Arabidopsis thaliana: one gene and its partners. The protein of the gene in region 3 purifies or fractionates together with the protein of the main gene of each other region. This does not show direct contact. Each region holds a gene or a part of one and is shown on either strand. Other genes may lie near its edges.

Region 1 (9,863 bases), about 14 Mb from region 3:
ACGAAATTGGCAATTACAGACTCTGCGAGATTCAAGAGCGGAAATCCAACTGTTGCAATTTGCTATGCGACTCTTGTGGATGCATCCTTCAATCTTAGGAGGGCAAGGACTAGCATTAGGAAAAGAAATGTTATGATGCTAAAAATGTTTTTGACCGCGGCTGTGTCAGATTATGGTGTTTGTGTCAACGGGTTCATAGATTCACATCAAGTCAACACTCTTCAGAACGATGTAGATGAGCTCAGGAAGATGGGAACTAACTGCTTGTTGCTTGCTACATTGATAAGATGATCGAGCCTATAGAAGAAGAAAACACTAAAACTAATTCCTGTAAAACTGACCAGACGAAGCTTATTCTTAATTATGTTTATGTAAATGTTCATTTTTAGATTTCAGAGGGTGTTCTTGGTCAACTTCAATCGGGTAAATGTAACTATAATAGAAAGTTTTAGCCATTTCCAAATTTTTCCGAGCCCATGAGTTTTTTGTGGTATCTTTTTCCCCAGAATTTCTTGACAAATCACTTTTAACGGACTTAACAGAAAAACGGCTCTTCGCAGATTTAATTAGTGCATTTTCGAACACAATACGCAAACATTTGTTCCTCATTAACAATGATGAGCATTATATCGTATTCTTGACACTGTTTCTGTCTTGAACCAAAATAAGATCTCCAAAAAAAGGGATTACATTGTGAGAGCTGTCTCAACTGTAAATCCAAGCTAAACCAAAAACAATTCACAAAAACATGAACAAACAGTCTACGGTGAAAGTAAAACAGACCCATACAATTGATTTTGCCGATTCAGAGCCTATTTTTTTATTACCAATAAGAGACAGAGCTGTGAGAATGCAAGTGACCCTATCACGACTAATGATGTCTTTGTCTGAAGTGAATAATGAAGGAGAAAGAGATGGAACAGACCTCACACATCCTGAGATACTTCATCGAGTAGCTTCTTTGTCGCTTCATTAACCTCCACGTTTTCCATCTTCAGGCGCCGTCGCATAGCAGGGTGACTCTTTCCCGCTGCTGCATATGTTCTTATCAATGGTTCAAATATTTCTGCGCCTATGTTGTCTGTTCCATTCTTTAAAATCTCCAACAAATTCTCAGCTCCATTAACATCTTTCTTTTGCTCGAAATAGCTCATCAAAGCTCTGACTGTTTCAGGTGACGGTAGCCACTTGCCACCATCTCCTTTGCCGATGGAGACTGCCTTTGACATGCATTCGAGTGCTCGAGCCATATCACCGCTCTTTACATAGTAATCCATGAAGATCTCCCATGTTTTAGCATTGAGCTTTCCACCTCTTCTGGGAGCTTTCTCCTTGAGCTCATTTGCTTTCTGGATTAGACCCTCTTGAGCATAAGCTCCAATCAACACATTCACAATCCTGATGTCATAAGTAGAACAGTTAGCTTGCCATTCCTTGAACAATGTCTCTGCACCAGGTAAATCATTCAACTTGACCAGCACTTGTATCATGTTTAGATAAGCTACATTTGAGGTTTTCGGAATAGCCAGCCTCAACGAACGCCAAATTCTGTAAACTTCAGTCAGCTTCCCCAGACGTCCATACAAAGTAATAAGAAACTGATATGCCGTAAAATCCCGTTGCGTGTTTTTCATCTCCAGTTCCTGAAGAGCCTTCTCAGCTTTCTGAGACAGTCCAGCATCAACATATATCGATGCCATATTGCTATACGTAGTCCAATCCGGAGCAACTCTACCATCTCTATTCATCTCTTCAATGACTCTCTCAACACCAGAAATATCATTAGTAGCAGCCAAAGCCCTCATCCAGACATTATAAGTGTACGAATCCGGCATCACATTCTCCGCCTTCAATTCTTGAATCATCGCCGGAACTTTCTCAGTCTCACCTGTCTTGGTGTAAAGAGTCATGAGGCTGTTATAAGACATGGAACTAGGAGTAATGTTGAGCTCTTTCATCTTATTCAGCAAACCTTCCGCTTTCTCTGTCAACAACTCCTTGCAGTAACAGTTCAAAAGAGACCCATACGTGAGTTCCGTCTTAGATGTTTCCGGAAGATCAACAAAATAATTCTCCCCAGCAGTAATTTCACGAGCTTTAGCAACAAGATCAAGATGGATTGCTTGATCACTCACTGTCTTGTTCATACCTCTCTCTTCCATAACTTCAGATAGCTACAAACCAAAAAAACAACTCCACAATATGAAATCTAAAGACACAATCATCACACAGTGAAAAAATTATTCAACAATTACTAAATTGTTCATAATGAGCATCAAAATACCACTTAAGAATCTACATTTCTATATGTATTCAACAGATTTGAAGCAAATGCTTATTGTGAAGCTAATCCTAGAGAATCGAAAATGCAATTTGGATTTATGAAACCTTGAGAGCTGGGTAATAGAGGCCGCGATTTCGGAGTTTCTTGATCGTATCGCCGACCTCCCATTTGAAGACGTGTTTAGTGCCTTTGAGGAACTGATTAAGCTGCTGTCGAACTTTGACCTCTGTACCACCATCTTTGAAGAGGCGATTGTACAGAGGTTCTTCGATGTACTTCTTTGTCGATCTCTTTGTAACGTCTCTCGATCGGCTCAAATGTCGCATCGCCATTTTCTCGTCGGAGCAGTAAACAACGACAACGAGAAGGTTTTTTGAGTAAAACCCTAATTCACTGTCACTTCCCAAGCTCGAAACAGAATTGGAGGAGAAAGTATGGTGATTATGGGCTTTTTAATGGGCCTGACGATTATTTCATTTCGGCCCATACTATATCAGTTAAACAATATGAGAAACACCAAAATATACGTTCTCTCTATTGTAAGGCTCTCTCACCTCACTCTATTGAAGCATAATTTGTTTATGTAGTTTCATTTTGATCATAACTCGAGAGAAACCTATGTAAACATAGACGAATGCCCCAAAAAACAAAACCAAAACCTCAACGTTTAACAATTTTGATCGCAGAACGAACACATAGACAGAAATGTAGCAGTCTAAAGGAAAATAATGAACCATGTCGTGAAAGGTTACAGAGAGCCTCATGTAAAATAAAATAGAATCACCATAAAGACAAATTCACAAGAATATGGCTTCTAAAACAAATTAAAGGAAAATTTGATCAGCTAAAATGTTTCAAAACGTTTTCTTTTCCCTCTACTTTTGTCCTGTTTCGTTTTGCTTCTTTGATTCAGGCAATTCCTTGAGGGATGTGGGAATCACAATTGACATAGACGATGAAACTAAATGTGCATTACACGAGTCTTAGTTCGTACTCACCAGCCATGGTTATGTATCTCACCCATGGAAGTGCTTGGTACCCACTCTTCTCAATAATCTTTAGGTACCGAACCTACACACCAAAGAACATATATATTATATATATGACATTGTGGAAGAGACAGTAACCATTTATTATTAAGCACAAGCTTACCTGAATCCCTGAAACAGTGAAATAAGGGATCTCAAATTTGACACGGATAGGAGCCTTTCGCTCAGGAGTTGCTTCCTCTGCAGTGATACTTGGAAGATGGAACTCTGCCCTTAACATGTACTCCTATATTGGTTTTCTGAAGGTTAGCATTGATACTACATAGTCTACATTGCTGACTGTTTCAACTGAATTTAAGAGTTTATTGAACCTTGTTAGTGTTATACCTTGTTCCCCGGGAAAGATTTGATTTTCCAGACTAACGCATCTTTTTCAGGAGCATAAGAGGCAGACCCTAGAGATGTCCTAACGGTGGGGTTAGATGCATCGGTTGGTACAGGCAACTCAATCTCAACGTTCGTTGCGGTGCTACAAAAAGAATGTTCGTGATCAAAGGTTTAAAGAATCTGATCAATCAGGATCTTTGCATGACAGTAAGACAGAAAAGGAAAGTGGCACAAATACCATAGAATATATTTACCTTCGTTCCTTGAACTGACTTCTAGCTTTTATGAGCATCTCAACACGACTTCTTGAATGACTTTCTATTTGTGCTTCCACCCATATAAGTGGCTTTACCTGAACATAAAAGAAACAAATCATGATATTTACTTGTTGAAGACGTGGAACAATTCCAGTAGATGCTATATCCCACATGTCAAACCTGAGTGCTGAGTCTATATGTCATCAGATCAAAAGCCCCATCAGGTGGTATGAAAGATATCGTCCTATCGTTTTCAAAACGGGCCAATCGAACACACCTGCATTAAATAAATGGTTGTTGAAGAAGAGAATACATAAAACTCAAGTATATAATCTTTTTGAACAAAAAGAAAATAGAAGGGTTAAGATCAGTGAAGACTTTCCAAGTTTCAATATAATAAAAACTTAAAGACGTACTGATGAAATTTGATGTCCTCCAAATCAATGGCTTTTCCCTTAGTTGCTCGTCCCTGCGCTTCCAGCAATACTCTATCATTCAGTCCTAACTTACACTCTGGCATTCCACTGCAATAGAATGGATCAAAGAGCAAAATAGTCAAAAAGGGACGTGATTTAACATGCTTTGGCTGATTAGGAACTATATCGTAAATTTGATGTGTTGACATACGTCAAGTAAGTTCGCATCTTCAGCGCTCCAACAACATCAGACCTGACAATTTGCCCATTACTGTTGACAAGAATATTTACATTCTCAATAACATCCAAGAAAACCTGGAAAAAGAAGCAGGTTGTCATTATTTGCAAACCGAAACATCAGAAACATATTCCTATCTTGCGAAAACAATGGCACTCACTTCATTCTTCTTGTACTGTATTCCCTCACTCCTCCAGGAGACAGCATTCGTCACAGCCATTGGAGGTCTCTGTGTAACTTCCATTCTATATGCATCAGTCTTGATGAATTCACTGAGAATTCTTGCTTCGGTATACTGAGGGTAACCAAAGTCCATCATCTCGTCAAGTAGCTCATACTGCCAGCACCAAAAAATCAATTTCAGCATCTAACAATGACAAATACTTTTCCAAAATTTTAAGGATCTTTTTGATTGCCCAAGTAATAGAAAAATATATTGCGAAATAGTACTAAAAGAGCGATGACAGAAGCTTAACATACCACTACCACAAAGTTATCCCTCAATGATTCCTCTTCTAACTCCTCGAAGTAATGCTTGAAAACCTATAACCAGATAACAGATACCATTGCCATTACATCAAATATCCAGGAAAAAGATGGAACCTTAAGAGAAAAACTAAAGAATTGACCAGCCATACTTACATCGACAACGCGGTGAAGAAAGAAGAGAAGACTGGCAGCATTACAATTCTGCCTGGATGCTATCATCAAGTATACATTACTATGTTGTACAAACATATAAGTCACCCCATTATCGTAAGCAACTGGATCATTTGACTGTGAATCACCCTGAACAATTAAACAAAACGATGATTACTCTGATTTAAACCAGAATGCTTCAAAAGTACAGATTCAAATCAAATTCTAATCCAAAACATTTAACCAATGATCAAACTTGTTCATTACTTCCAAAAAATTTCAGCGGCATCAGATCACAAAGACTGATACGAATCCATTATCTTCAAAATTCATTTCCAGTGCAGATGAAAATGGACACGAATCCATTATCTTCGAAATGTTTCAATTCCAATTGACGAATCTTTCAAACACAAATCTACAAGTTCGTTCGCTAACTCTATGTTTCTCTGAAAATTCTACAGTAACCAAGCAATAAACAAAGACCAATTAGCGATAAGAGGAAGATCAGAACAACCTCTTTCTCGATGAGCTTAGTGAAGAATCGCTCGGCTTGAGCAGCGGAGACATCGCCACGATAATCACGCCAGACGAGAACGCGTCCCTTGATATCAAGCAGAAACAGCGCGGAGGCAGCTCCTGCCATGTTCTTCCCTAAGAGTTTCGATCAGATCCAAATGGGGATGATTAATCAGCGAGATCTGATGAAATTATGGTTCTATAGAGGAAGAAGTAGCAACAACATCTAGATGGAGATTGACGCAGATCTGCAGCTCAGATTCTCCATTTCGCAATTTTTTTTTTTTTTCTGGCGATCTGATGATTTCGTTATCGATCCTTGTGGTTGGATTAAAAAAAAAAACGGAAGAATTTAAGAAAATAATAATATTCAGAAGCAAAGAGCTCTGCCTTTCACCCAGACGGTATCGTTTTACTTTTTCCGTCAAATTTAATACCATCGAAAGTAGAAGGAGAGTCAATGAAGAAAGTCATCATTGAAGAAGAAAGGCCCATTGGATCATTACATAAAGTCAGGCCCATATAGGTTGGGTTTCGTAGGTTAAAATTATTAGGTTAACGACGAATTAGTATAAAAATAGGTTTGTAATGAATCAAGGATAGAAGTAAAACCTAAAATCGAACATATGCGTTTTTCACAAAAACTTTAGGGGAATCTAGGGTTTGTGTAGTGTCACCACCATGAAATCGTGAGGACTATCAAGTATAAACTAGAAAACTGTCATGGGGTATGATCGAATGTTTGTGTACTCATTTTTCGTGGATATGAAGATATGCAACATTTGATCATTCTCCATGATAGTATTCTAGTTCGATATATAAAATTTCAATAGAACACTGCAACATGAAGTGTTTTGTATACTTAGCTTGATTGCTAGCATATTTACGTATATTACCTCCTATGTGTTGATGTTCACACGACAACACAATTTCACTGGTACCAATCATTCCAACAAATTATAACTCGGTCTCAGGGATTGTATATTTTGTTGGATTGATTGGTAACATGAAATTTTGAATTTTTGAATTTTTGATGTTACCGGTGTGAGTGTATACTTTGTTGGATTGATTAGTACGATTGCATACTTTGTTGGATTGATTGGTACACAATAAAAGCGTTTGAAAGTAATAGATTTTAAACCTTTCTAAACCATGTAGTGAACTTGAAGCTTATTCAAGCAGTTTATTACTTTCAAACTTGATATTTTGTTACATAGCTAGTTTGGCTCTTAAGTTCTCATCATAAAGATTATGGGATCTTAATGAAGACGTAATAGCCCTTATCTTTTCACATGTTTTGAGTATTTGTCAATTATATATGCGTCCTCTTGTTCTGTGACTATCTTAGTCTTTTATAAATACTATATATATATGCGTCCTCTTGTTCTGTGATTCATAGGACAATGGTAATGCAAGACTCGGAACTTAACTAATATTGTGATCGCCTTATTGATCTTCTCCCTATACCGCTATACGTAGTGAAATTAATAGTTTGTAATGTAGAATGCTAATAAGATAGAAGTGTACTTTTTGGCAAGACACTAATTATAATGACTAATTTATCAAACATAAGAGGAAAAAATCAGAGATATGTTACTTCATAGTTTACAAATGAATCATGGGCAATAAGTCTTGAACTTAACTAATATAGTGTTAGTTACGTTAAGTGATGATGAACTTGTCTTGAAGTACATCATAGTCAACATACGTATTAGAGATAGTTACATTTGGTTTACATTATTGGTTAACTTTATTGGTTTACATTATTGGTTAACTTTAACTAATAATGTAAACCAAATGTAACCATCTCTAATAATACGTACAATTCTATTTATTTTGTACGCTCAAGAAAGACCAGATCAATTAACCGCAATACAAAGATCCGATTGACTATCGCAAAAATGCATATATGACGGGAACACTACATATAGTAGAGACACAAATTCATTATGTGGATATAGACATTATGTTAAAAATTGGAGTCTTTAATCAAACACTAATAATATCGTTTACAAATTTCTAGAGAGTACAAAAAAAAAAAATCTTCTTTATCATATTTTCGCAGTATTAATCTTTGGTATATTTAGATGCAACTTCTACGGTAAGAATTCGTCAACCATTGAAGCAAAGAAGAAGAATGAGATTAAAGAAAAATGGGGTTAAAGTCAAACGTATAATATGGTCAACAAATAGAGACGACATTGACCAAAAAGATTCAAAACTTTGAAACTAGACTCTCATCTCGTTACTTCATTCATTACTTGCACTGAAAAAAATAGTATATAAAAAAGGGTTAGAATATAAAAATTAATCAAAAGTAATAAGTGCAAAATAAATTCATATATCTTAGAGTCACGCGTTTCCTCGGGTTCCCTATTGTTCATTAAAAACCTATTTGAGTCTTTTGAATATTCACTCACTCTAACACACATTCTTCATTTCTTCAATGATCACACACACATTCTTGAGTTTTCCCTCAATTAATTTTAGTAAAATTTGTTTCTAGTTTCTAGAATCCTTGGCTTTAGACTGGTTGTAACATTACAGATATAAAATGTATGAAATGTTTCGATATGAAATGTTATCAATCCGTATTTATAATACATAATTGGTATTTAAGTTACTTCGGGGTCTATACTACTATATATGATAGAGATTAATTATGAAAAAAATGAAGATGGTTCCAGAATTTATGTGCATGAAGGTTTTATTTGCAGTGTCCAAACAAAATACTTGTAGAGAAACCATATTTTAATCACCTAACTTCGACCAATATAAAACGGATTATCGTAATCATTAGTTAGGGCACTTTTTAGTTGACTACGATCGATATCTTTTGCACCACCCTTTAAAAACTATAGCACCTTTCAGTTTGTATGACTAAAACAAAAACTATTGGCATCACCACTAAATTATGTATCAAAAAATAACTTAAGAACGTATATCAAAATAAGTTGTTCCATTTAGGGTACATAATACTGTATTTCTTTCACATTAAACATATGCTTTAAATACCATGATTACATTCTTTATGCTTGAGAAAAGAAACAAAAAAGGATATTCTCTCACATTTAATAAAAGATACAATGTACACTCAATGTCACTATCTCTTCGTTACGTTCTTTTAATGTAACCAAGGAAATAAATACTAAGATACGAATTTTCGAAAAAAAAAATTCGTGGAAAAAATAACTGAACTGAATCGACATCGAACGATCGATTGTCTTGAAGTCACTGTTGACTATAAGACCAATCCCCTTCTCTGAATCACATGTTTCATTCTCTTCACATTCTCTCTCGTTCCAAACAAGTCTTACTTTAACAACAACCTAATCTTTTACTCTTTCATTCTCCATTTCCTTCATTTACATCAAAAAAAATTCTTGTTTCTCTCTTAACTTCATACGATAACTTATGGGATTTTCCGGCAAGACTTACCACCAGTTTGACAGAAAATTTAGCGAAACTACCGAAGGGAAGAAATGCGTCATCACCGGAATCTCCTTACATTCTACGGTGAAGCCGATTAGCCTCTCTTCCTCTGCCGTATCCAACACGGAAGACGAAGATCTCTGTCCAACGACTCCAACAGCGGATTCCGTTAGAATACCGACGGTAATTCCGTGTCCTCCGGCGCCTAAGAAACGGAAACTGACATTGAAGGTTAGCTACGGCCCTAGAGAGTTCTTTTCGCCACCAGATCTCGAGACCGTCTTCATATACAGAACTACTTGATTTTGAATTTTTGATTAATTATATATAGAGATCACTTATATATAATCTCTACTCTCTCTAACCTGTTTTGGTTTACTTCAAAAAAATAGTTTCTTAAATTTCTAAATGAGTTCTTCCTTACTTTAGCTTCTTTATTCTGAAGTGTCTTAACATTAAAATGGTTGTCAAAAAAAGATACAATTACTAAGTATCTATCTTTTAGTTTTTGTTTCTTATTTTTTATTTTCTTTTGATTTTACCATAAGCTATTATTCTATTTTTTCCAACAAATTGTAAGTACTCGTCCCTGTTCCAAGATAATATCTAAATCGTTGAAAACTGTAAGATGGTTAAAAGAAACTTTGTTTACTTTAGTCTTCTGTCTTCATGATTCTGTCATCATGATTCAATTTTACTCCGAAT
Region 2 (9,693 bases), 4.9 Mb from region 3:
ATGTGTCAACCCCAAAGTCTTACCATTCATAAACAGAAATCCACTTACTTATCCATATTCCACATAATTTGCCTACCGATAATGTACTAATTAGCAACAAGTGGAAACGAAAATAAGTGTGATTAAACATTACAACTATGATTAAAATGGATAAGGTTACAGAAGACAGTTAGGGAATTGGTCGGATTCTATGAACGAACCTTCCAGCGCCGATCCAGCCCACTTCACCGTTTCTCTCAACCAATCACACAGTTTCCCTCAATTATTTTAATAATAATCATCTCTAAGGTATTCATTATTTTATTAACAAAATATTCCCCCAAAAATTTAGTGGAGACATTACAATATTATTATTATTGCGGAAACTCGGAGTTTTGAGGGAGAGGTCACCACCGTTACACATGGCATGATTCAGCTTCAAAGATTGTCAATTTTTGAAAACTCATTTTGTTTTCTAGTTTTGGTGAGAGGTGGGCAGATACAAGTGGATAACAAAGTTTTTTGTTGGATGATAAAAGAGACAGAGAGAGACGACGCATTTTCCTTTATTTTCTCGGGGAAATTCAAAGTTTTCGAATTTTCTTCCTTTCTGGGTTTTCGTCAAAGGAGCATCTTCTTTATGTTCTTTTGAAAGAAGGCTCTCTTCTCTATTTCTCTCCCCTCTTCCGGGGAGTTTTTGATTTTTTAGGATAAAGGAGATTCCTTTACCTCGATTTTTTGCTTTTCATTTTTATTAAATCTCCGATTTTTGATTTTTGGGGGAAGAAGTAGAAGAAGAAGATGATTAAGTTGTGGATGATGACTTCTCTCCAACTCGCGGAGCTCTTCGTGAGCTCTATTGTGCATTTGCTTTATGGGTTTTATATATTTAGCTCCGCCGTTGCCGGAGATATCTCTCAGACGTTGAATGATTACTTGTTTAAGTCCAATGTCGCTTTCGGAGAAACCGGTCAAAATCAAACCAATGTTGAGGGTTTGCCTCCTATTGTATTGGTTCATGGCATCTTTGGATTTGGCAAAGGGGTAATGCAAAAACAAACCCCTCAAATTTGGTTCTTTTGATTATTTGATTGTGGTTTTGAGGTTTGATCTTATTGCTTTGATTGAGCAGAGATTAGGAGGCTTATCTTACTTTGGCGGTGCTGAGAAGAAAGATGAGAGGGTTCTTGTTCCTGATTTGGGTTCCTTAACAAGCATCTATGACAGGTATTGGATTCATTTTTTGCACCTCCTAGGATTTTGTTGTTTTGATCTAGATCTTGATATACCATGTGTGCATTGTGGTGATGATAACATTGGTTTCCAGGGCAAGGGAATTGTTCTATTATTTGAAAGGAGGGGTAGTTGATTTTGGCGAAGAGCATAGCGAGGCTTGTGGACATTCTCGGTTTGGAAGAAGATACGAACAAGGTTAGATTTTGATATGAATGCTCATTGGAAGAGACTACTAATATACCCCAAATGTTTCATGTTGAATGCAAGTCTGATTTTGGTATGTGTTTTAGGGCAATACCCTGAATGGGATGAGGATCATCCTATTCATTTTGTGGGGCATTCAGCGGGTGCGCAAGTTGTGCGTGTATTGCAGCAAATGCTTGCAGATCAGGTTTGTGTCGAATCCTTCTTTTAATGGAAGCATATCTTCTGGTTTAAAAGCTATGTTTGATGAATGATGCGAAACCATGATGTTTAGGCATTTGAAGGGTTTGAAGAAACGAATGAGAATTGGGTTCTGAGTGTGACATCGTTATCCGGGGCATTCAATGGAACTACCAGGACCTACTTAGATGGCATGCGGTTAGTTTTCATTCTGACATTTTCAATTCTTTTCGGTATTTACATGGATCTTTACAATTGATTGGAATGTTCCTGTTTCTTCATTTTGAAATAAGGTTTGATCTTTGAAGCAATTGTATGTTCCTGTATTAGAAAACCAAGATCTTTTATCCTAATTGTTGATTCTTATTGTTGCTGTTACAGGACAGATGATGGAGTGAGCATGAAACCGATATGTTTGTTGCAGCTGTGTCGTATAGGCGTGATAATGTACGATTGGTTGGACATTTCATGGCTAAAGACTTATTACAATTTCGGGTTCGATCACTTCAACATTTCTTGGAAGAAGACCGGTGTGAGAGGTCTCGTTGATTGCCTAATGGGAAACGCAGGTCCTTTTGCTTCTGGCGATTGGATCTTACCTGATCTCACAATCCAAGGCTCAACAAGTATTAACTCCAATCTCCAGACGTTCCCAAACACTTACTACTTCAGCTACGCGACTAAACGCACCCGCAGAGTCATGGGTATGACAATCCCTTCAGGTGTTCTTGGAATCCACCCGATGCTCTTCCTCCGCGTCTTTCAGATGAGCCAATGGAAATTCCCACAAGATGTCTCTCCTCCTTATAAAGGCTACAGGTACTCAAAAACACTCAAAAATTTAACATTGATTTTTGAAGCCCTTGCTGCATTGGTCTAAGAAAACATGTTTGAATGAAGGGATGAGGACTGGCAAGAGAACGACGGGGCATTGAACACAATATCAATGACACATCCGAGGCTACCTGTTGAGCATCCGAGCCGGTTCATAAGGAGCGATTCGGAATGTCAAACATTACAACCCGGGATCTGGTAAGTGAATCATATATGACCTAATGACGTTGATGGATTGAGAAAATCTGAATACCTTGTTGTTGCAGGTATTATAAGATAGTGGAAGCAGATCACATAATGTTCATAGTGAACAGAGAGAGAGCTGGTGTTCAGTTTGATCTGATATACGACAGCATCTTCCAACGTTGCAGGAAACATGTTTTTAGAAAGATTCCTCAGACTCTCCCCAATCAATCTCCTTCTTCTCCTCGTTCATCATCATCACCCAGAATAAACAACTTTGTACATTGATCACATGCAAAAAAAAAATGTTTTAGGGTTGTTACGTTGAGGGCTTAAGTTTTTGTTTAGGCTATTTACTACTAATACAGATTATTCATTGTTCTTCTTGTTCTCCTCTCGATTTGTTGTACTGTAAAATATATATCTTCCATTTTGAAAATTATAATATTTGTTAGTTCGTCATGTTGCTCTACTGCCTCATCAAAGTTATTTATATAGTGAACTCTTACAAAATTAGCGGACGTTTAAGGAAAACCATTATTGGTGTAGTCACCCAGACTGCATGCATTTTCCATCGGTAAACGAACTGAAAGAACCCCAAATAAAACTCGATGTTTAACAATTGTAACCCAATATATATATAACTGTCGTATATAGTTTTACAGAAAAAAAAAAAAAAAAAAGAGAACGCCATGAAACAATTCACAAGAAAATGGCTTCTAAAACAACCTTCACCGCAAATTCTATCAGCTAATATATTTCAATCTTTTTCCTTTTCTCATTGATCTTCCTCTGCTTTGTGTCGTTGACAATGGCTTAAATAATAGTAAAAACAAAAAAACGATCTCATTTTACATGAGTCTCAGTTCGTACTCACCAGCCATGGTTATATATCTCACCCATGGATGTGCCTGGTACCCACTCTTCTCAATGATCTTCAGGTATCGAACCTGCAATACCCATAATTAACACACATCAGGTTTGTTTGCCTTCAGATTTCAATGCAGTAATATAAAAAGAATGTGATCTATATGATAATAACGTATCATTGTGAGTAATACCAACCTGTATTCCTGAAACTATGAATTTTGGGATCTCAAATTTGACACGGATTGGAGCTTTTCGCTCAGGCGTTGCTTCCTCTGCGGCTATACTTGGAAGATGGAAATCTGCTTTCAATGTATGCTCCTACATTGTTTCAAAACTTAATGTAAGCATTCGACTTTACATGGTCAAGTGTTACATTAAACTATAAGAACTTACCTTGTTCCCATAGAAATATTGTATCTTCCAGACCAGTGCATCTTTCTCAGGAGCATATGCGGCCGACCCGAGAGATGTTCTTACATCGGGGTTATACGCATCAGTTGGTACAGGTAACTCAATCTCAACACTTGTTGCATAGCTGCAGAAAAAAGGAACTCTTATCAAAACGCGTTAAAGGATTCCAGTATTTCAGTATTTCAGGTAATGGTTAAACGTGTTAAGTAACATTTGTTACTTACCTTCTGTCCTTGAATTGGCTTCTAGCTTTTACTAGCATCTCAACACGACTTCTGGAATGCCTCTCTATATGCGCTTCCACCCATATAAGAGGCTTTACCTGAACAAGTATTATGCGAAAATAAGATATATCATGATATAATTCGTTTAAGAAGGGGACAAAACCATTTCTGCAATATTACACATTCTAAAACCTGAGTACTGAGTCTATACGTCATAAGATCAAAAGATCCATCAGGTGGTATGAATGATATTGTCCTGTCGTTCTCAAAACGGGCTAATCGAACACACCTACATTTTGAAGAAAGAGACGTGTAAAAACTCAAGTATTCAATAATTTTTCGAGTTAGTAAAAAAATTGGCCTCGATAGAGTGACTGTCAAAGAATGTTTAAAGTTGCAAGAGATTAACGTACTGATGAAATTTGATGTCCTCCAAATCAATGGCTTTTCCTTTTATTGCTCGTCCCTGTGCCTCCAACAATATTCTGTCATTCAAGCCTAGCTTACACTCTGGCATTCCACTGTAATAACATGGATAAAGAAGCAGAGAGTCAAAGAGGAGGGACTTTTGATTTTAAATGCGTTGGTTAACTAGGGACACTAGAGAACGCACCTCAAGTATGTTCGCATCTTCAAAGCTCCAACGACATCAGACCTGACAATTTGCCCATTACTGTTCACAAGGATATTTACACTCTCTATCACATCCAAGAAAACCTGGAAAACAAAACATCAGTCTGCAAACATTAGAAAACCTAAAACAATTGAAAAGTAAAATGTTGAGCACCTACTTCGTTTTTCTTAAACTTTAACCCCTCACTCCTCCATGAGACAGAATTAGTGACAGCCATTGGAGGTCTCTGTGTAACTTCCATTCTATATGCATCAGTCTTGATGAATTCACTAAGGATTCTTGCCTCAGTAAACTGAGGGTAACCAAAGTCCATCATCTCGTCAAGTAACTCATACTGCCAGTAACATAAGTAAATGTTTTTAGAAATAACTTTCGCCCACACATATCCACCTCATGCAAGAGGGAAAACAGTTATAAGAAGAGATGTGAGAAGCATTATCTTACCACTACCACAAAGTTATCTCTCAAAGATTCTTCCTCTAACTCCTCGAAGTAATGCTTGAAGACCTACGATCAGTATAAGACTGTAACATATGAAACAGTGCCGTTCTTTTTTCTTCAAATTCAGAAAACAGATGGAAATGCAAAAAACTGAATCACTAGGGATGCTTACATCGACTACACGATGCAAGAAGAAGAGAAGACTGGCAGCATTACAGTTCTGTCTGGACGCTATCATGAGGTAAATGTTACTATGCTGTACAAACATGTAGGTCACGCCATTATCATAAGCAACCGGATCATTTGACTGTGAATCACCCTGAACATATTAGACGAAAGTAAGCAAACCCGCAGAGAAAACACTAGTCATTTAGTCATAAGTATAACGATTCTGATCAAATTGAATCCTTTTAAGCACTGATCAAGCTTGTTCATTAGTTCCAAATGTTAAAACTTCACCTCTGTCTCGATGAGTTTGGTGAAGAAACGCTCAGCTTGAGCAGCGGTGACATCGCCACGGTAATCGCGCCACACGAGAACACGACCTTTGATATCGAGCAGAAACAGCGCTGAGGCCGCCCCTGCCATGTTCTTCTTCTTCTTCCCTCCTTGTTTTCTCAAGGATTTGCCGAATCAGATCGATCAAACAGACGGATTATTAATTCCAGAGAGATCTGAAGAATTTTACGCTTCGCCGGAGCTAAACGATCATTTGCTGCAGCTGAGTGGTGGTTCGTCGATAAAGTCACTTATTCACGACCTGACGAATTGGTTCTGACATAAAAAACGACGGGAGACTCGAGAAAGAAAGAAAAGTGCAGCTTATTAAATTGGGTTCAGCTTTGCATTATTCTGCGAAACGACATCGTATTACCAATCTTACTTGGTTTTTCTTTCTTTCTCTGTATTAGGGAAGCAATCTTACTTACGAAGATTTTAGATTAATTTTTATAAATCTTAAACTAATAATACCAAATTAAAAAAAAAAAATGAAAATTTGAATTGAATAACATCAGATTCTATATAATATTTTTAAATCACTAAAACTCTATATAAATCACAAACCAATAACACCCCTTAATTATTAACAAAGTACTAGCATTTTGACAAATGTTATACATTTCAACATAGATTTGTTTTTTAGTTAAGTCATAGGAGTTATTTTGTTAATTGATGATAGCTCCTCCTGGTTGTTCCCATTTTCATACATACAAATCCTCAACATAAGCAATAAAATCCCATATGATTTTCCAATCCAATAATGATTCTAACAGTTTGTTACACTTGAATTCACTTGCGCCATTCTCTATCAATTTCTTTTAAGTTCCACGCGAATGAAATAGTGCTTTTCAATATTTCATTACATTTGGCGAGAGAGAACATTACAATGAAATTGCAGTGTCAAAGTAAATCTTCTGTACATGTTTCAATCAAAACCTTTTTCTTTCTTTCTTCCTTCTCTTTGAGAGCAAACATCATAAATCCACAAAACAATCAAACTCACCCAAAAGACTTCCACGATTTGACTCAGCACACAGTACTTATGTTCAATTCTATTGATTCGATCTCGTGAGGCAGGGCAAAGCAACAAGCCAGATGATGTTTCATGTTCCTTTTTGGTCTGTGCCCTTTGATGTAATCTTAGACTTGAGTGCTAAGCTACTTATATCGTCGTCTCCTTCAAGATCACTGAAAGAAACATCATCCTCATTCACTGTAAACATTGGAGCCCAAGAATTAGCAGAATCTTCTTCTTCTGGCCAATCATCATCATCATCATCAACAACATCTTTAGATGTTTGGCTAAGGCTTGCACTATTTTTGTCGTTCTTCTGGATTGGTTTTTCCTCAATAACAGCTTTATCGATGAACTGAGCGTTTTCAAACCCGTGTTCAAAATCGCGATACATAATCGAAGGAGGTTCAAAAGCATATATTCTTGGAGAAAGAAACTCAGGAGGAGCATGGTTGTAGTAATTAGAAGTTGATGGTGTAATATCTTCTTCCTCAAGAATCATATCTCTACTTTCTTTTGAAGAATGTGTCTGATTCTGAAGCTCTTTCATCCACAATGCTCTAGCTTCCATCACCTGCAAAAGCAAAAGGATTTTGTTGAATAAACAACAGCAACAACAAAGAATCATTTTGACTCAAGAAGAGATTGAGATTCAGGTTTTTTTAACCTGTGGAGAAGACAAAAGATGAGCATCGTGTTTATTGAGCCTTGAAAGAAGAAGAACAAAATAGACTTTCCAGAAGTAACCAACACTCATATGACATGGACAAAGCTCTATTCTCAATGCAGCTAACCTCGGAGCAAGACGCTCAATAGCTAAAGCATGACCTCTTTGAGCATCACTCATTTCCAAATCTACATTAGATAAAAGTTGAAATAATCAAACTTTTGATATGCCTATAAGTCAAATCAATGAAGACTAATAGCGAAAGACTTGACTCAATGTATACGTTACCATCAAGATCTTCGTCAGGATCAAGAGGAAAATCCAACCAAGTTTCTGGATGCATTGCTATGTTCCTCGCAAATGCTAGCACTTCGTCTGTAAGAGCAACCGCAGCGATCTCTTCTTCTTCTTCTTCTTCTTCATCTGTTTCCTCTTCTTCTTCTTCCTCATCCTCCGGATCATTGCCTTCTGCCAATTTTTCTTCTAAATCCCAGCTCCTAAACCTAATTCCAGTCTCCGGCGTATCACTTCCAACACACGATTCGTCCCGATCTGAAGAACGCGATTGATTCAATCCAGGATCTGAAGACCGAGATTGGTTAAACCTGGGATGGTTCGATAGATCGGAGGAAGAAGAAGAAGATCCATCAGGTAACGGAGCGAGAAAGTTAGCCACACCACGAAATTGACGCGTGAGGGTATGACCAAGTTCCGTCAAATCATCTTTAACCCCACGCGCTTGAGCCTCCTCTTCCGGTGACAAACGAACGGCGTTTCTCGAGAAATCGTGTCTTTCCGTTGAGGCTTTCGGGGTTTTCTCGTCGTTGTTGTTGTCTTCGTCGTCGTCGGCGGCGTCATCGTCTCCGATTCCATCGTATAAGCTTTCCAAAAAATTCGAAAACATTATGATTGATTTCTTTTTTCTTTTCTTTTTCTCAATTAATCTATTGATCCATTTGGTTGACTCAAAAACTAAAACTATGCAAATTATTTTATCTTTTCCTAACAAACCCCATCCAAATTAAATATCATATACTTGTAATTTAGTTTTAAATTCCATATTTTTTGGTGGCAACTGTAATTGGATTATCTAACACCTATAAAATATATATTTTTATTTAGAAATGTAATTGGTTGATATTCAGTGAATTTAAATTATAGAAAATAAGAATATCGTAACATTAATGTAAAGGAATCCACTAAAATCGAAATAAATGTCATAAAAAACCTTAAATCGAATATGCAACATACATATTTAGATTTATCAACGTTTTTTAAAAAAATCTGCTTCGAAATGACAGAATCCATAAAAATTATTCAAGAGGGGGACAATTGGCGAAACAAAGCTCCTTAGCGTTGGGAAATTCTTTTTCTTTCCAACAACGAGCTTGTTTAGTTTTAAGTCGCAAGCAGCACCAACAATCATTTTTCAGTGAGAAACCACCGGAGCAAGTCTCATGCATACACGCTGGTAAAATGATTTTGCTCGATCTCCCTATCTCTTTCACCTCCATCTTCTCACCTACACATTGATTTGAACATACACACAAAACCAAATTTAACAATGGAAAGAAAAAGAGAAAAAAGGTAATTGATACGAGAAGAAACAAAATTATGTACGTACATTCATGCAGAGCAAAGAGGGAGAGCATGATTATACAGATTAAAGTTGTATGTGATGATTTCATGGTTTGAGTGTCTCAAACAATTGTGTTGTGAGTTTTATTTGTCTTCTCGAGTTGTTGTGGAATTATGTAAATACAAAAACTTTTAGAATATATAAACAAGTAGAGAAAATTAAATTAGGATACACCTTAAGTTTCTTTCAAGGAAAAAAACAAGATATAACCTTTTATTTCAGGATTTTTATCCATATTCAACGTCTCTGTTAAGTAATTCATAATTGTTATTGAATCTATTTTTTGTTAATGTATTAAATTTTATTTTGAGTGTGTTTACTTATTATGGAATGATCAAACTATTATTTATCAGGTCAAACCCAAAATAAGGTTATAATCTTATTTATAACTTAGAGCTGTCAAAACATATTGTAGAATCTTATCACCTTCTTAAACTCGTCTAGATAACTATACAGAATACAAACTGAAGTATTGAAATACAAAATTTAAAATATTGTAATAGAAGGATCTCGATTTTAGTATTAAAATCTTGTGTGCGAAAGGGAAATCAAAGATCTCTCGGCTAATTGCTTTTATGGACGAAAATAAAGTTAACTAGTAGACGAAAATTTTATTTTCTAATCTCAAAACACCTTTAAAATAATTAGAACATCTTTGAAATTTATTAAAATCCC
Region 3 (12,391 bases):
GATTTTAGGTAAAAGTTATTTGAAAATCAGGAGATTTTCTGACGTTTTTCTTTTGTTTGAGAATTTGGATTCAATGAAAGTAGTCAAGAATTCAAATCAATGTTTTAAATGCAGCATTTAACATTAAACACCTTTTGCATTTTGATTGTGGACTGTGTATGTATAGTTGATGAATTCTTGAACAGCAAATTGTAACTCTTTGAGCAATGGCAGATAGCAGACCCAGGCTAGTTACTGGCTCCCCTGAAGGATATCCGGGTCATGTGGACGGTAGATTAAGGGACGCGAGGTTGAACAATCCTAAGGGACTCACAGTTGATGATAGAGGAAATATCTATGTTGCAGATACTGTGAATAATGCTATCAGGAAGATCAGTGAAGCAGGTGATTTTTTCTGCGGTTTTATGGTTTTGCCTTTTGGACAAATGTTTGGTAAGTATCGGATTTAAGAAAGAATAAAAATGCAATGGCAGGAGTCACAACCATTGCTGGGGGGAAAATGGTTCGTGGGGGAGGTCATGTGGATGGTCCAAGTGAAGATGCAAAGTTTTCAAATGATTTTGATGTTGTTTATCTCGGGAGCAGTTGTTCCTTGCTAGTCATTGACCGAGGAAACCAAGCCATCAGAGAGATTCAACTCCATTTTGACGACTGTGCTGATCAGTATGGAAGTGGCTTTCCTCTGGGTAATATTTACATACCAAAGTTTTCCGTTTGGGTCCCCTCTTGCATTCTTCAGTCATCTCTATCTCAATTACTCTTTAATGTATCTCTGATTCAATGCTTTAATATTGCAGGGATTGCAGTTCTTGTAGCGGCAGTTTTCTTTGGCTATATGCTGGCCTTGTTGCAACGTAGACTCAGTTCTATCGTTTCATATCATACTGTGAGTGTACATTCGCATTGTAACATCATTCTCTTATGCTACCCTATAATTGAGTTATAACCAACATTTCTTCCTGTTGTGTATATGTTATAGGATCAAGAAGTGTTTGAAGCTGTGCCTGATCAAGATCCTATAAAACCGGTCAGACCACCGCTAATTCTAACTGGAGACGAGCAAGAAAAACAAGAAGAAAGCTTCCTTGGAACGTTGCAGATATTCATTTCAAATGCTTGGGTGTTTTCTGTGGAGCTGTTCAGTGGAATGTTTCCCGGTCTCAGAAAGAAGCAGACAGTCGGCTTGAACTTCAACCATCAAGAAACAAAGCATTCTGCTTTTAGCACAACTTCATGGCCAATTCAAGAAAGCTTTGTAATACACAACAAAGATGAACCACCTCCCGTCGAGTCCAGGAACGCCACTCCTGGAAAAATTTATCCTTTCATGTCCAAAGATGCAACAGAGAAAATGCAACAGCTGCGCCAAAGCCGTGCCTTGTACAGAAGCTTGGACGCCGAATTCCTCCAGGAGCAGCAACAAGAGAAGCATCAGCAGTATCACCATAGGCATCACTCAACAATCCCATACACTCTTTATGAGCAGAGCAGCGAGAAGACTAATGAGATTGTGTTTGGGCCAGGCCAGGAGCAAGACCAGATGAATACTCATCAGAATATCCACCACAGAGCTCACCAATTTGTGAGTTACCCATATGGATACTATTCATAGACATGAGAAGTTGCTTAATATGATAGTAGTAGTAGAGATTGGGAATTCAGGTATAGTTTTTTAAAATTTGTTGAGAAGGCACAATAGGGATTTGGGTATTTAGATCTCTCTTGTAAGAAAAGTACCAAAGATTAATCATTCTTCCTTGATATAAAGAAAAAAAGATGAGCACTTCAATAAATATTCAAAGATTTTTCAACTCAACCAAACTTTACATTTACAAAAGACACATACTCTCTGATTCATGTGCTTTTAACTGAAACCTACTCAGTAGATGAAGAACCATGAATTACAGTATCTTCTTCAGCCATCTTTGAAAATTCTTCAACATGAACCTTTATAATGTCATCTATGGTTGCATGAGGAAGAGTCTCTTCATTCCTGCAATCTTTGTCATTGTTAGGTTCTTGTTCATCATCAAAGCTTATTAGGTCAATAAGATCATCAGAGGGTTTCAGTGAAAGGGGCGGCTTTGGGTTGCCGCAACCTGGACTCTCGGGATCAGACACAGAGACTGTTTTGTCTAAAATAGCTACATTATTGGGTTGACACATGAAGAAAAGGCTAGATACCATCGAACAAATTAAACTACTTAGGGCGGAATACATGAGGGAAAGGTGAGACACGATCATCATAACTAGTCTACTTAATACTGAATAAACGGTTGATTCAGCAACTCGGTTTCTAATGTAGGAGAAGAAGGTCAGAACTTGTTCCCCCAATTTGGTTAGGAGAAGCTTCCATGTCATGATGAACGAGAGGTGGTTCACTTCTTCCTGTCTATAACGATTTGGTTTAAGAGATTTGATATGTTGATTATACACTAGTATGTAATATGAGGATAGATTAAAAAAAACTTACATGACGGATGACGTAAGGGCGAACAGCAAATCCAATGGCTACCCCGAGAATGCAGGAAAGGACAATCCCTATTGACCAAAGAGAGTATGTCCCCAAATCTGAAACAGTGAAAGAAGAATCGTTGAAGTTTCCAAAGGCATGGTTAGTCAAATCCACAAAAGATTACTTATAGAAAAGACATACTAGAATGAGAGTTTTCGAGGCAATCCTCCTCCTTAAGATTTATCTGGCGAATCATTTCATTTCCATGATCAGAAACAAGCAAACAACATCTTTGAGGAACAAAAGTTATCTCGAAATCGCTAGAGAAAGTAGCATTCTGTGCAGGTCCATCTCTGTGTCCAAATGCCTTTGAGATCCCTCCAGCAATGGTGGTTACAGAACCTACAAAGTCCAGTAAATAAAACATGCATAATCAAAATAAACTAAGTGGCTCTTTCAACAAACTAAGATTAGACAACAACAACAACTAGCATTTATACAAAAGGAATACAAGAAATGGATTAAACAAACACCTGAAGAGCTGATCTTCCGTATAGCTTTATTACTCTTATCAGCAACATAAACATTCCCTTTAGCATCCACAGCAAAACCACGGGGTTTGCTGAACCGGCTGTTACCAGCTTTACCATCTACATGACCCGAACTCCCATCCCCAGCAAACCGGTTTATCACACTATCTGCACAACCACACACACATACTCAAAGTGAGCTCAAACTTCAATTGAAAGAAAGATAAACAAAATTTTCACTTATAGTAAAGTTTAGAACTTTTATTTGCAGGTTGATCGTTTCACACACATACACACACATATTAGTATTGTGGTCCAATTTGAGATTACGGAGAAAGAAAAAATGAAGGTCAAGACTTGCAATCAAAATCAACAAGCTCTAAACATTTACTTATGCATCCATGAATTTACAACTCATATACAAACACAATTATAATGATCCGATTAATAGATGAGACAAAAGAGTGGTTTTGTGGGTGTTTACCAACGGACAAAGGAAAGGAAGTAGTGTAAAATGTACTGCCGGAAGAATCAAGGACGATCAGATTAGAAGATCCTGGTAAAGCATGAATCGTGTATGGATTCAGACCAGACTTATGGCCATCGACCACCGTTGTGACTTCGTACCCTTCTTCTAAAACTATCTTACCACTCACTGTAACAAAATCATGAGGAAAATTAAAAATTCGAATTTTGGGTTGGGAAATTCAACTGAATTAACAGATTTTTGAAAATATACCCAGATTGAAAACGACGAACAAGAAGAGAGACACGGACGAAAATCCCCAAGCCATGTCAAAATCGAGAGGAGAAAGCGACTGTTCTGTGTAACTTGTGTTGTGTTACTTATTTTTGCTGCTTAGCATCTTTAAAGGTTTTAAAAAGATACTAGGGCCTGAGCGATACTATGATGTGTTCAAGTGTAGGGGAGAATTTGTGTAACAACCAATGAAAGAGCGCGTATCATCGACCCTCTCAAATTTGACTAATAAAAACGGCCCAAGTAGGGCCCATTTATGTGTTTAACTATAAAGAAACGGCCCAGTCTATGTTTTTGTTTTGAGAGGATTGCTGGTCGAAACGTTACCGTTTAGGTGGAAATGGAAGTCATGTTTATACAACGCATTTAATTTGGCAATTATGGTTTACGAAGACTGAGAAGAAAAAAACGAGCATCGTCCATCGAGATCCAAATCCTCAGTTTCATTTTCATCTCTCTCTCTCGTATTGATCAGCTACTCGAAACTCCGGTAACGGATTTTCACAATCCCGGCGGCGAAACTCTTCTTCCCGGCTAAGTTTTCATTTTCTTCAGATTCCTCGTAAAGTTGCCGGTGGACCAAGGTCCAACTCTTGAACACCCCAAATCATGAATCCCTTTTCTTCTGGTACTCGTTTAAGGTAAATTGATTCTCTTCTTTCCTTTTTATCGTTTCTGTTTCAGGTTTCTTAGTCGTTGATCAGCTTACAAATGAAATTTGAATATAACATGATGTAATTGAGCTCGTTTTCATTTGAGGATTGAATTTTGTTGATTGGCCTGTTTCGAAGATGAATTTGGTATTGGTGTTTCTGATTCCATTTAGAATTTTGATTTTAGTCTAAGAACATGATCACACTAAGGATTTTTGGTAATCCTTTTGCTTAATTTAATTGAATATTGGATTGGTCATGTTGCTGTTGGGGTTTAATAGTGGAATCAGATCGGATTATTGTATATGGTTCTGAAGTTATAGTGGACATATGAGTATGATTCAGGGACATGATCCGTGCCATAAGAGCATGCAAAACAGCTGCGGAGGAGCGAGCTGTTGTAAGAAAGGAGTGTGCCGATATTCGAGCATTGATTAATGAAGATGACCCGCATGATCGGCACCGGAACCTTGCGAAACTCATGTTTATACACATGCTGGGTTATCCCACACACTTTGGGCAGATGGAGTGCTTGAAGCTAATTGCATCTCCTGGATTTCCAGAGAAGAGGATTGGATATCTAGGGCTAATGTTGCTTCTTGATGAGAGACAAGAAGTGTTGATGCTTGTCACAAATTCGTTAAAACAGTATCCTTACTAATTTCTAGTATTAAATCTTGATACCTTGGCCTTTGAATGGATTCTTCTTCTATGTTAAAAAATACTAGAGAACACTTGATTTTTGATTGCATTGCTGTTATGGGAATTAAGGAGAAAAATATTTAAATAGATTTGTTCCTGTTTAACCTTAAGTCACGTGCAGAGATCTTAATCACTCGAACCAGTATGTTGTAGGACTTGCTCTCTGTGCTTTAGGGAATATTTGTTCAGCAGAAATGGCCCGTGATCTTGCGCCAGAAGTAGAAAGATTAATCCAGTTTCGTGACCCTAATATCCGAAAGAAGGTGAAGTGTTTTCTAATTCATATACAGGGTCTCCTGGAGTTTAGTCGCTTTTTTTTTTTCCTTCATTGCCTTTACCATTTATGTTGTATTATATGCAGGCGGCGCTTTGCTCTACTAGAATAATAAGGAAAGTTCCAGATCTAGCAGAAAACTTCGTAAATGCTGCTGCTTCCTTGCTTAAAGAAAAGCATCATGGGGTTCTTATAACAGGAGTTCAACTTTGTTATGAATTATGCACGATTAATGATGAAGCCCTAGAGTACTTCAGAACGGTAAGTCTATAAATATTATACAGAACACTCTACTTATGCATACAGGAGCATCGACGTAATTTAATTGAATATGCGTACATATGATACTATATTACCTGTATGATGCTTTTGTGTACTATTTTTCTCTTGCAATAAAGTTTGATATCTGTGGTATTCACTTATAAATAGATTACTCTGCTGAAATGAGGCAGACAATCAGGTTGTTATATTGTTTTATCAGACCGTCAGTTTTGACAAACCCTTGTCTTTGTTTTGTCTCTGCAGAAATGCACAGAGGGACTGATAAAAACTTTGAGGGATATTACTAATAGCGCATATCAGCCTGAGTATGATGTTGCAGGGATCACAGACCCTTTTCTCCACATACGGTTGCTCAGGCTCTTGCGTGTTTTAGGCCAGGGTGATGCTGATGCTAGTGATTTGATGACAGATATACTTGCACAGGTTAGTCATAGTTTAGCAAGTGATTCTGGATATGGTTGACCATCTTCACATTTGCGATGTAATTCCTTTGTTAAACATCAACGGTTTATGGTTTTTGTTCCAGTTACCTTACATATATTTTTTCGGAAAAATGTTGTAAGATAGCTATGCTCTCTCATGTGCTGGAACTGATTCTGTTAAATATAGCATAATGGAGAAAGAATTTCATTTCGTTGATAGGGTTCATGGGCTATTATTCTCTTTGGTAGATAGAAGACTTATTGGTTACTGAGTTTTTGCCGTACTTGAATTCTCCCTCTTTTGATACCGGTCTTTGTTGTCATAGTAAGTGTTGATTTGTGGACGGACATATAAATCTGTAGGCTGCGCCAATCCTTTTCTATCTCACCATGATGAATGCATCCTGCGTCTGTTACATGCTTTGTTTTGGAAATCTTTTGAGTTCAAAGTCAGGGATCTACTGTCGGATACTTTGTTATCCTGGTTCTTTGATATTTATTCTCGTTGGTTTCATGCTATTGTAGGTGGCAACAAAAACTGAATCAAACAAAAACGCAGGGAATGCGGTACTCTATGAGTGTGTTGAAACAATCATGGCCATTGAAGACACCAATAGCTTGCGTGTGCTTGCTATCAATATCTTGGGAAGATTCTTATCTAACCGCGACAATAACATCAGGTTCAACCCCCTACACCTCAATTTTATTTGATAATAGTATGGTATTATATATGTTTGTAATGGAACTAGCTTACTTGTATTTTTCTTCTGTCTATCATCTTTCTTTGGATGTGCTTAACTCTATGAAGCACACAATGCTCTTCTGACCAACCAGCGTTGCCTTTTCTAATCTTGATTTCGTTTCTCTCAAAAACGCTGCATTCCCTTATGAAATTCATACTTTCGTTCTCTCAGATATGTTGCATTAAACATGCTGATGAAAGCTATCACTTTCGATGATCAAGCAGTGCAAAGGCACAGAGTTACAATTTTGGAATGTGTGAAGGTATTAGTATTACCAGGAAAATATTTTATACAATGTTAACTGCTAAGTATATCTTAGAGAAATAAAAAATGCTAATTTGGTTTCTGCTTCCATAACAATATAGGACCCAGATGCTTCTATCCGGAAAAGAGCTCTTGAGCTTGTCACTCTTTTGGTGAATGAAAACAATGTCACACAACTGACAAAGGAGCTAATTGATTATTTGGAAATCAGCGACGAAGATTTTAAGGAAGATCTTAGTGCAAAAATTTGTTTTATCGTTGAAAAGTAAGTATTCTATTTAAGAAATAGAATGACTACTTACTCTGAGAAAGTTGGGGGTCAGGATGATTGGAAAGTTACTGTGAATGTCTAGTTGATTGAAGTTTTTGTTGACTTTTTAAATTTTTTGATAATGTAGGTTTTCTCCAGAAAAACTATGGTACATTGATCAGATGCTCAAGGTTCTGTGTGAGGTATGGATTCAAACGCGAGAATATGCTCTGTAACGTGTTACCAGTTAATTGCACTCTTTGAAATCGTTTGAGAGTTTATATCTGCTTAAGCTAATTTCAAATGCATTGTTTGTATCTGTCATAACCTATTGTCATCTATTCCATGTTAGTAGGCTGGAAAGTTTGTGAAAGATGATGTGTGGCATGCACTTATTGTTGTCATAAGCAATGCATCAGAGCTTCATGGATATACAGTTAGGGCCTTGTACAAATCAGTCTTGACTTATTCGGAACAGGTAGCTATTTTCTAATGTTAGATTGTGCTCAGTCCTCAATCAGTTGTAACCCTTTCTAATATGGTTTCGTTGAGATGATAACCAGGAGACCCTTGTCCGAGTGGCGGTATGGTGCATTGGGGAATATGGTGATCTGTTGGTTAACAATGTGGGGATGCTTGGTATTGAAGATCCAATAACGGTGAGCATCACAATGGCAATCTTAATTCATTATTTGCTCCATGATAAATATGCAGATGCTTTTGCTTCTTGGGATTTCATTTTTGCTTTGAAAAATATGCAACGAGTATGTGACTGCCTTGAGCAGGTAACGGAATCTGATGCAGTGGACGTTATCGAGGATGCCATTACTCGCCATAACTCAGATTCGACTACAAAAGCAATGGCATTGGTTGCTCTACTGAAGTTGTCATCCCGCTTTCCTTCTATTTCAGAGTATGTCTGACCTCGTTGTGCTATCTGTTTTTATCTCAACTCGTTCATCTGATATCTGCACTTATCCCTTTTCAACTCTACACAAGATGCATATGCGCACTAGTATATGAATAATAAATTTTGGTCTGTCTACAAGAAACTGTAGCGCGTTGCCTTCTGAAAAAAGATTAGAAATATATTATACATGTACATCCTGTCCTCAACTCTCTATTGATAATTAAAAAGTTTTCTAAAATTCAATGACAGGAGAATTAAAGACATAATTGTGAAGCAGAAAGGAAGCCTTCTCCTTGAAATGCAGCAGAGAGCTATTGAATACAATTCTATAGTTGACAGGCATAAAAATATCAGGTGGAATCCCTTGTGCCTCTCTTCCTCATCTATCTTCTAGTGTAAGTTTTTCATATTCTCTCTCCCTCAAAGCTCATGATAGAGGTATGTGTGCATACAGGTCTTCTCTGGTTGACAGAATGCCGGTACTGGATGAGGCTACTTTCAATGTGAGGAGGGCCGGCTCTTTTCCTGCATCAGTTTCAACCATGGCCAAGCCTTCAGTTAGCCTTCAAAATGGTGTTGAGAAACTTCCTGTCGCTCCTCTTGTGGACTTGCTAGACCTAGATTCTGACGATATCATGGCTGCACCTAGTCCATCTGGTACAGATTTCCTTCAGGATCTTCTCGGTGTAGACTTAGGTTCATCGTCAGCACAATATGGTTAGTTCTTTGGCGGTTCTACAGCTCTTGCGTTCATATTATGGCGTGCTCATCTGCTATGTGTCTCTGAATGAACAAGTTTTTAAAAAAATCATTTTCCTCATTGCCTTGCAAAAGGATAACTCATGTTTGGTCTTCCATTTTTTATCCAATGATTCAGGTGCAACCCAGGCTCCAAAAGCTGGCACAGATCTGTTGCTGGATATTCTATCAATTGGAACACCTTCTCCTGCACAAAACAGCACATCATCTATTGGTTTATTATCAATAGCTGACGTTAACAATAATCCCTCAATTGCGCTAGACACACTTTCTTCACCAGCTCCACCTCACGTAGCAACAACTTCGTCCACCGGTATGTTTGATTTGCTAGATGGTCTTTCTCCAAGCCCATCGAAGGAAGGTAGGAAAAAGTCTTAACCTGAAAAAGATCTGTATAATCATTGAAACTCTTTTACAAAGGTCAATAACAAGTTTTCCTCCTTATTGCAGCCACCAATGGTCCAGCTTATGCACCTATTGTTGCATACGAGAGCAGCTCCTTGAAGATTGAGTTCACCTTCTCAAAGACACCAGGGAATCTGCAAACGACAAATGTCCAGGCTACTTTTACTAATTTATCTCCCAATACTTTCACAGATTTTATATTCCAGGCTGCTGTTCCAAAGGTAATTACATCTATCTTCTTTTTTTGCTTTTTTCCCCTTTATTCATCTTTCCCAATTGATAAAGCAGTAAATAGATTTCAATTTTTTCTTTAACCTTCTCTTTCTTTTGTGTAACTTCCAGTTCCTCCAGCTGCACTTGGATCCAGCTAGCAGTAACACACTCCTGGCAAGCGGTAGTGGTGCCATCACGCAGAATCTAAGAGTCACTAACAGCCAGCAGGGGAAGGTATGGCACATTCTCTGTTCGTCTTTCTATCTAACTTTATGTCTTCAACATTCCGTGCTCAGCATTGATGAATAGCACTTGATGATCCACAACATAATCTATGCTCAAATAAAGATAGGCTGAGCCTGTGGATTCAGTGACTTAACATAACACTAAGGGTTTAATGTTTATTGCAGAAATCTCTTGTGATGCGCATGAGGATTGGGTACAAACTGAACGGAAAAGATGTATTAGAGGAAGGACAAGTCAGCAACTTCCCTCGCGGGTTGTGAAACTCATCGATCAGCCATTGTATTTTCAGCATAAGGACTTGAGTGTTTCTTTCTATCAAACCCAACTAAAAAAGAAAGACAAGTCTTGCCCAAGCCGTTGATGCAGCTTTCTCCTTCCAATTTTTTCATCCGTTTTATGAAACAAGTAGTACTTTGGCCTTTGCTTGTGATTTGAGGTTCTTGGGTTTTCTTTTTGTACAAAAGTTTTGATGTTTGGAATCGGAAAGTGGTCAAGAAGTAGAATTTGTCTCTCATGTCTCTGAGACTATAAAAAAGATGTGATTTATGACCCATAACCATAACTCATGATGTATCTACTACAGTTACAATTTTCGTCTTGCAAAGAAGGAGTATTGGATTTTGGATCATGTCGTAGTTTGCATGTGTTATTGGATTAAGTCTTTGGTTGATCAACCAACACACATCTCTTATTTGAAGCGAATTCTAATTTTCTGATAGCTAGAAACTGTTAAGTACAGATATAGAGACATTCGAACATGTGTTATTTATTAATGTTACCAAATGGTGGATGTTCATTTGATTTTATTGGATATGATTTTGAAGACAACAGATCAATAAATCATCATTCTAAACATAATCTATTTTCTTAAAAACCCACCACAGAAAATTATATATTTCGACTTCACTTTTCCATATTTTCATTCTAAACATATATTTGTCCCAAAAATAAAAGATAGAGATAAACCATAAACAGAAATTCATTTATTATTTTAAATGATTATGTGGCTTGATGCGAAATTCATAAAATCAAAGTGGTTTTGACTAATAGTACCATGATATAAATTTCACTTTTCCATATTTTCATTCTAAACATATATTTGTCCCAAAAATAAAAGATAAAGATAAACCATAAACAGAAATTCATTTATTATTTTAAATGATTATGTGGCTTGATGCGAAATTCATAAAATCAAAGTGGTTTTGACTAATAGTACCATGATATAAATATCTGCCCAGTCATTTTTGTATTAAGACAAAACAAAAGAATGACTTTTGTAAATTTCAAACTTTTCCAGAAATATGTATTTTTTTTTTTAACTTTGTTATACTTTTACCAACTCTTACTAATTTAAAATTTTGTGGTAGTTTTGGAAATGCGTACGTGTTTATAGTTTTGAATTTGAAGGATACAAATTGGGAGTTAAGGGAATTTCTACAAAAAAATATTAATGTTAAACTGAATAGCTACTTTGATTACACATGATTAGTTGCCGAATAAGTTTTAGATAATAGGCTAATAGCTATTACTAAAATATCATTGTCTCTTCATAAAAAAAATGTATTATAATATTCTAGTAACATGACGTTGCTTGTACAAGCCTTTCCATTAAACAAGCCTTAGCTTGCAAATATCTCTACTTGACTTTCTCGAGTTGTAATGTAATGAAGAGTTGCATATCACAGTCACACATATCTAAGTTAATTACCCATTTGACAAAACGTGGAATAGTTGAACCCTTTTATTACAATCGTCAATACAACGATAATATTAAAGTTTTATTTAATGCATATATATATATGGAAAGCTTCATGGGTAAATACATCGTAAACGTTGGGGAAAGAAATAAAACACATCGACGTAAATGACATTCATTATTCAGTGAAAATCTCTAGTTAAATACACCATCCAGTGCCATTCTCTAATTAGTTTTATAATTTCTTTTAAAAGTATATGTTCTAGTGGTTTTGATAATAATCTTTAACAAAAAAAAAAAAAAAAGTGGTTTTGATAATAATAATCGTCTCAACTAAGATGTTTATATAGAAAGGGAGTGTTCTGAAATTACATTAATCTCCTTAATTATTTTACCTAACCCCACTCATTTAACCTTTTCACCATATTGAATAGTATTTCTAAACTTAAACAAATATTTCAGCAATTTTTTTTTTTGCGTCACCCATTTAATTATCTAATGTGATACACAGGAGGGTAAATAACTTATGTAGGCCAAATTGATATAATCTACCTAATGTATTAATTCACTCCAACTAAGCTAGCGAAGTATATTACCTCGTGAAACATAGCAGTTAATTAGGGTTTAATCAAGAAATATAAATTGATCGAAATGTGATGAATTTAAAATGATTTTAACTAATGATCATTATGAAATAAAATTAATATAGTTACTCAACTTAATTACACAAACTGAGCAATCTATAATTGCAATTATTTTTAGCAACCCGAAATATTGATCTGACGACGATTTTTGTTTTGTTTTTAGTATAACACAGCTAGCGATTA

Evidence for each region.
Region 1: the proteins of GAMMA-ADAPTIN 1 (region 3) and HAP13 purify together in Arabidopsis thaliana (affinity purification with western blotting; 2 studies listed by BioGRID, with this or other methods). This does not show direct contact.
Region 2: the proteins of GAMMA-ADAPTIN 1 (region 3) and AT1G10730 purify together in Arabidopsis thaliana (affinity purification with western blotting; 2 studies listed by BioGRID, with this or other methods). This does not show direct contact.

The regions. Positions count from the first base shown.
Region 1 is NC_003070.9:22,366,033-22,375,895, forward strand, and holds HAP13 (Clathrin adaptor complexes medium subunit family protein), read right to left. Parts: upstream 6,192-9,863; 5' UTR 5,854-6,191; coding exon 5,725-5,853; intron 5,361-5,724; coding exon 5,214-5,360; intron 5,115-5,213; coding exon 5,052-5,114; intron 4,909-5,051; coding exon 4,732-4,908; intron 4,649-4,731; coding exon 4,545-4,648; intron 4,442-4,544; coding exon 4,334-4,441; intron 4,195-4,333; coding exon 4,098-4,194; intron 4,013-4,097; coding exon 3,915-4,012; intron 3,803-3,914; coding exon 3,661-3,802; intron 3,560-3,660; coding exon 3,437-3,559; intron 3,356-3,436; coding exon 3,257-3,355; 3' UTR 2,921-3,256; downstream 1-2,920. Other genes in the region: AT1G60760 (Plant invertase/pectin methylesterase inhibitor superfamily protein), read left to right, coding at 1-291; AT1G60770 (Tetratricopeptide repeat (TPR)-like superfamily protein), read right to left, coding at 927-2,174, 2,389-2,616; AT1G60783 (cyclin-dependent kinase inhibitor SMR2-like protein), read left to right, coding at 9,141-9,461. UniProt on the Arabidopsis thaliana protein: Subunit of clathrin-associated adaptor protein complex 1 that plays a role in protein sorting at the trans-Golgi network and early endosomes (TGN/EE).
Region 2 is NC_003070.9:3,561,554-3,571,246, reverse strand, and holds AT1G10730 (Clathrin adaptor complexes medium subunit family protein), read right to left. Parts: upstream 5,991-9,693; 5' UTR 5,785-5,990; coding exon 5,656-5,784; intron 5,516-5,655; coding exon 5,369-5,515; intron 5,263-5,368; coding exon 5,200-5,262; intron 5,090-5,199; coding exon 4,913-5,089; intron 4,839-4,912; coding exon 4,735-4,838; intron 4,643-4,734; coding exon 4,535-4,642; intron 4,411-4,534; coding exon 4,314-4,410; intron 4,220-4,313; coding exon 4,122-4,219; intron 4,022-4,121; coding exon 3,880-4,021; intron 3,805-3,879; coding exon 3,682-3,804; intron 3,567-3,681; coding exon 3,468-3,566; 3' UTR 3,141-3,467; downstream 1-3,140. Other genes in the region: AT1G10740 (alpha/beta-Hydrolases superfamily protein), read left to right, coding at 781-1,023, 1,112-1,206, 1,307-1,410, 1,506-1,606, 1,694-1,797, 1,981-2,418, 2,500-2,631, 2,700-2,904; AT1G10720 (BSD domain-containing protein), read right to left, coding at 6,801-7,286, 7,380-7,567, 7,668-8,283; AT1G10717 (EMBRYO SURROUNDING FACTOR-like protein), read right to left, coding at 8,693-8,901, 9,004-9,067. UniProt on the Arabidopsis thaliana protein: Subunit of clathrin-associated adaptor protein complex 1 that plays a role in protein sorting at the trans-Golgi network and early endosomes (TGN/EE).
Region 3 is NC_003070.9:8,437,025-8,449,415, forward strand, and holds GAMMA-ADAPTIN 1 (gamma-adaptin 1), read left to right. Parts: upstream 1-4,054; 5' UTR 4,055-4,354; coding exon 4,355-4,386; intron 4,387-4,429; exon of another isoform or gene 4,430-4,743; coding exon 4,744-5,046; intron 5,047-5,221; coding exon 5,222-5,363; intron 5,364-5,461; coding exon 5,462-5,635; intron 5,636-5,899; coding exon 5,900-6,079; intron 6,080-6,603; coding exon 6,604-6,758; intron 6,759-6,992; coding exon 6,993-7,083; intron 7,084-7,186; coding exon 7,187-7,350; intron 7,351-7,483; coding exon 7,484-7,538; intron 7,539-7,690; coding exon 7,691-7,813; intron 7,814-7,898; coding exon 7,899-7,994; intron 7,995-8,120; coding exon 8,121-8,248; intron 8,249-8,494; coding exon 8,495-8,599; intron 8,600-8,699; coding exon 8,700-8,962; intron 8,963-9,122; coding exon 9,123-9,365; intron 9,366-9,454; coding exon 9,455-9,630; intron 9,631-9,751; coding exon 9,752-9,856; intron 9,857-10,032; coding exon 10,033-10,128; 3' UTR 10,129-10,657; downstream 10,658-12,391. Other genes in the region: AT1G23880 (NHL domain-containing protein), read left to right, coding at 214-384, 474-686, 798-886, 980-1,612; AT1G23890 (NHL domain-containing protein), read right to left, coding at 1,876-2,388, 2,474-2,571, 2,657-2,857, 2,989-3,153, 3,470-3,640, 3,725-3,779. UniProt on the Arabidopsis thaliana protein: Subunit of clathrin-associated adaptor protein complex 1 that plays a role in protein sorting at the trans-Golgi network and early endosomes (TGN/EE).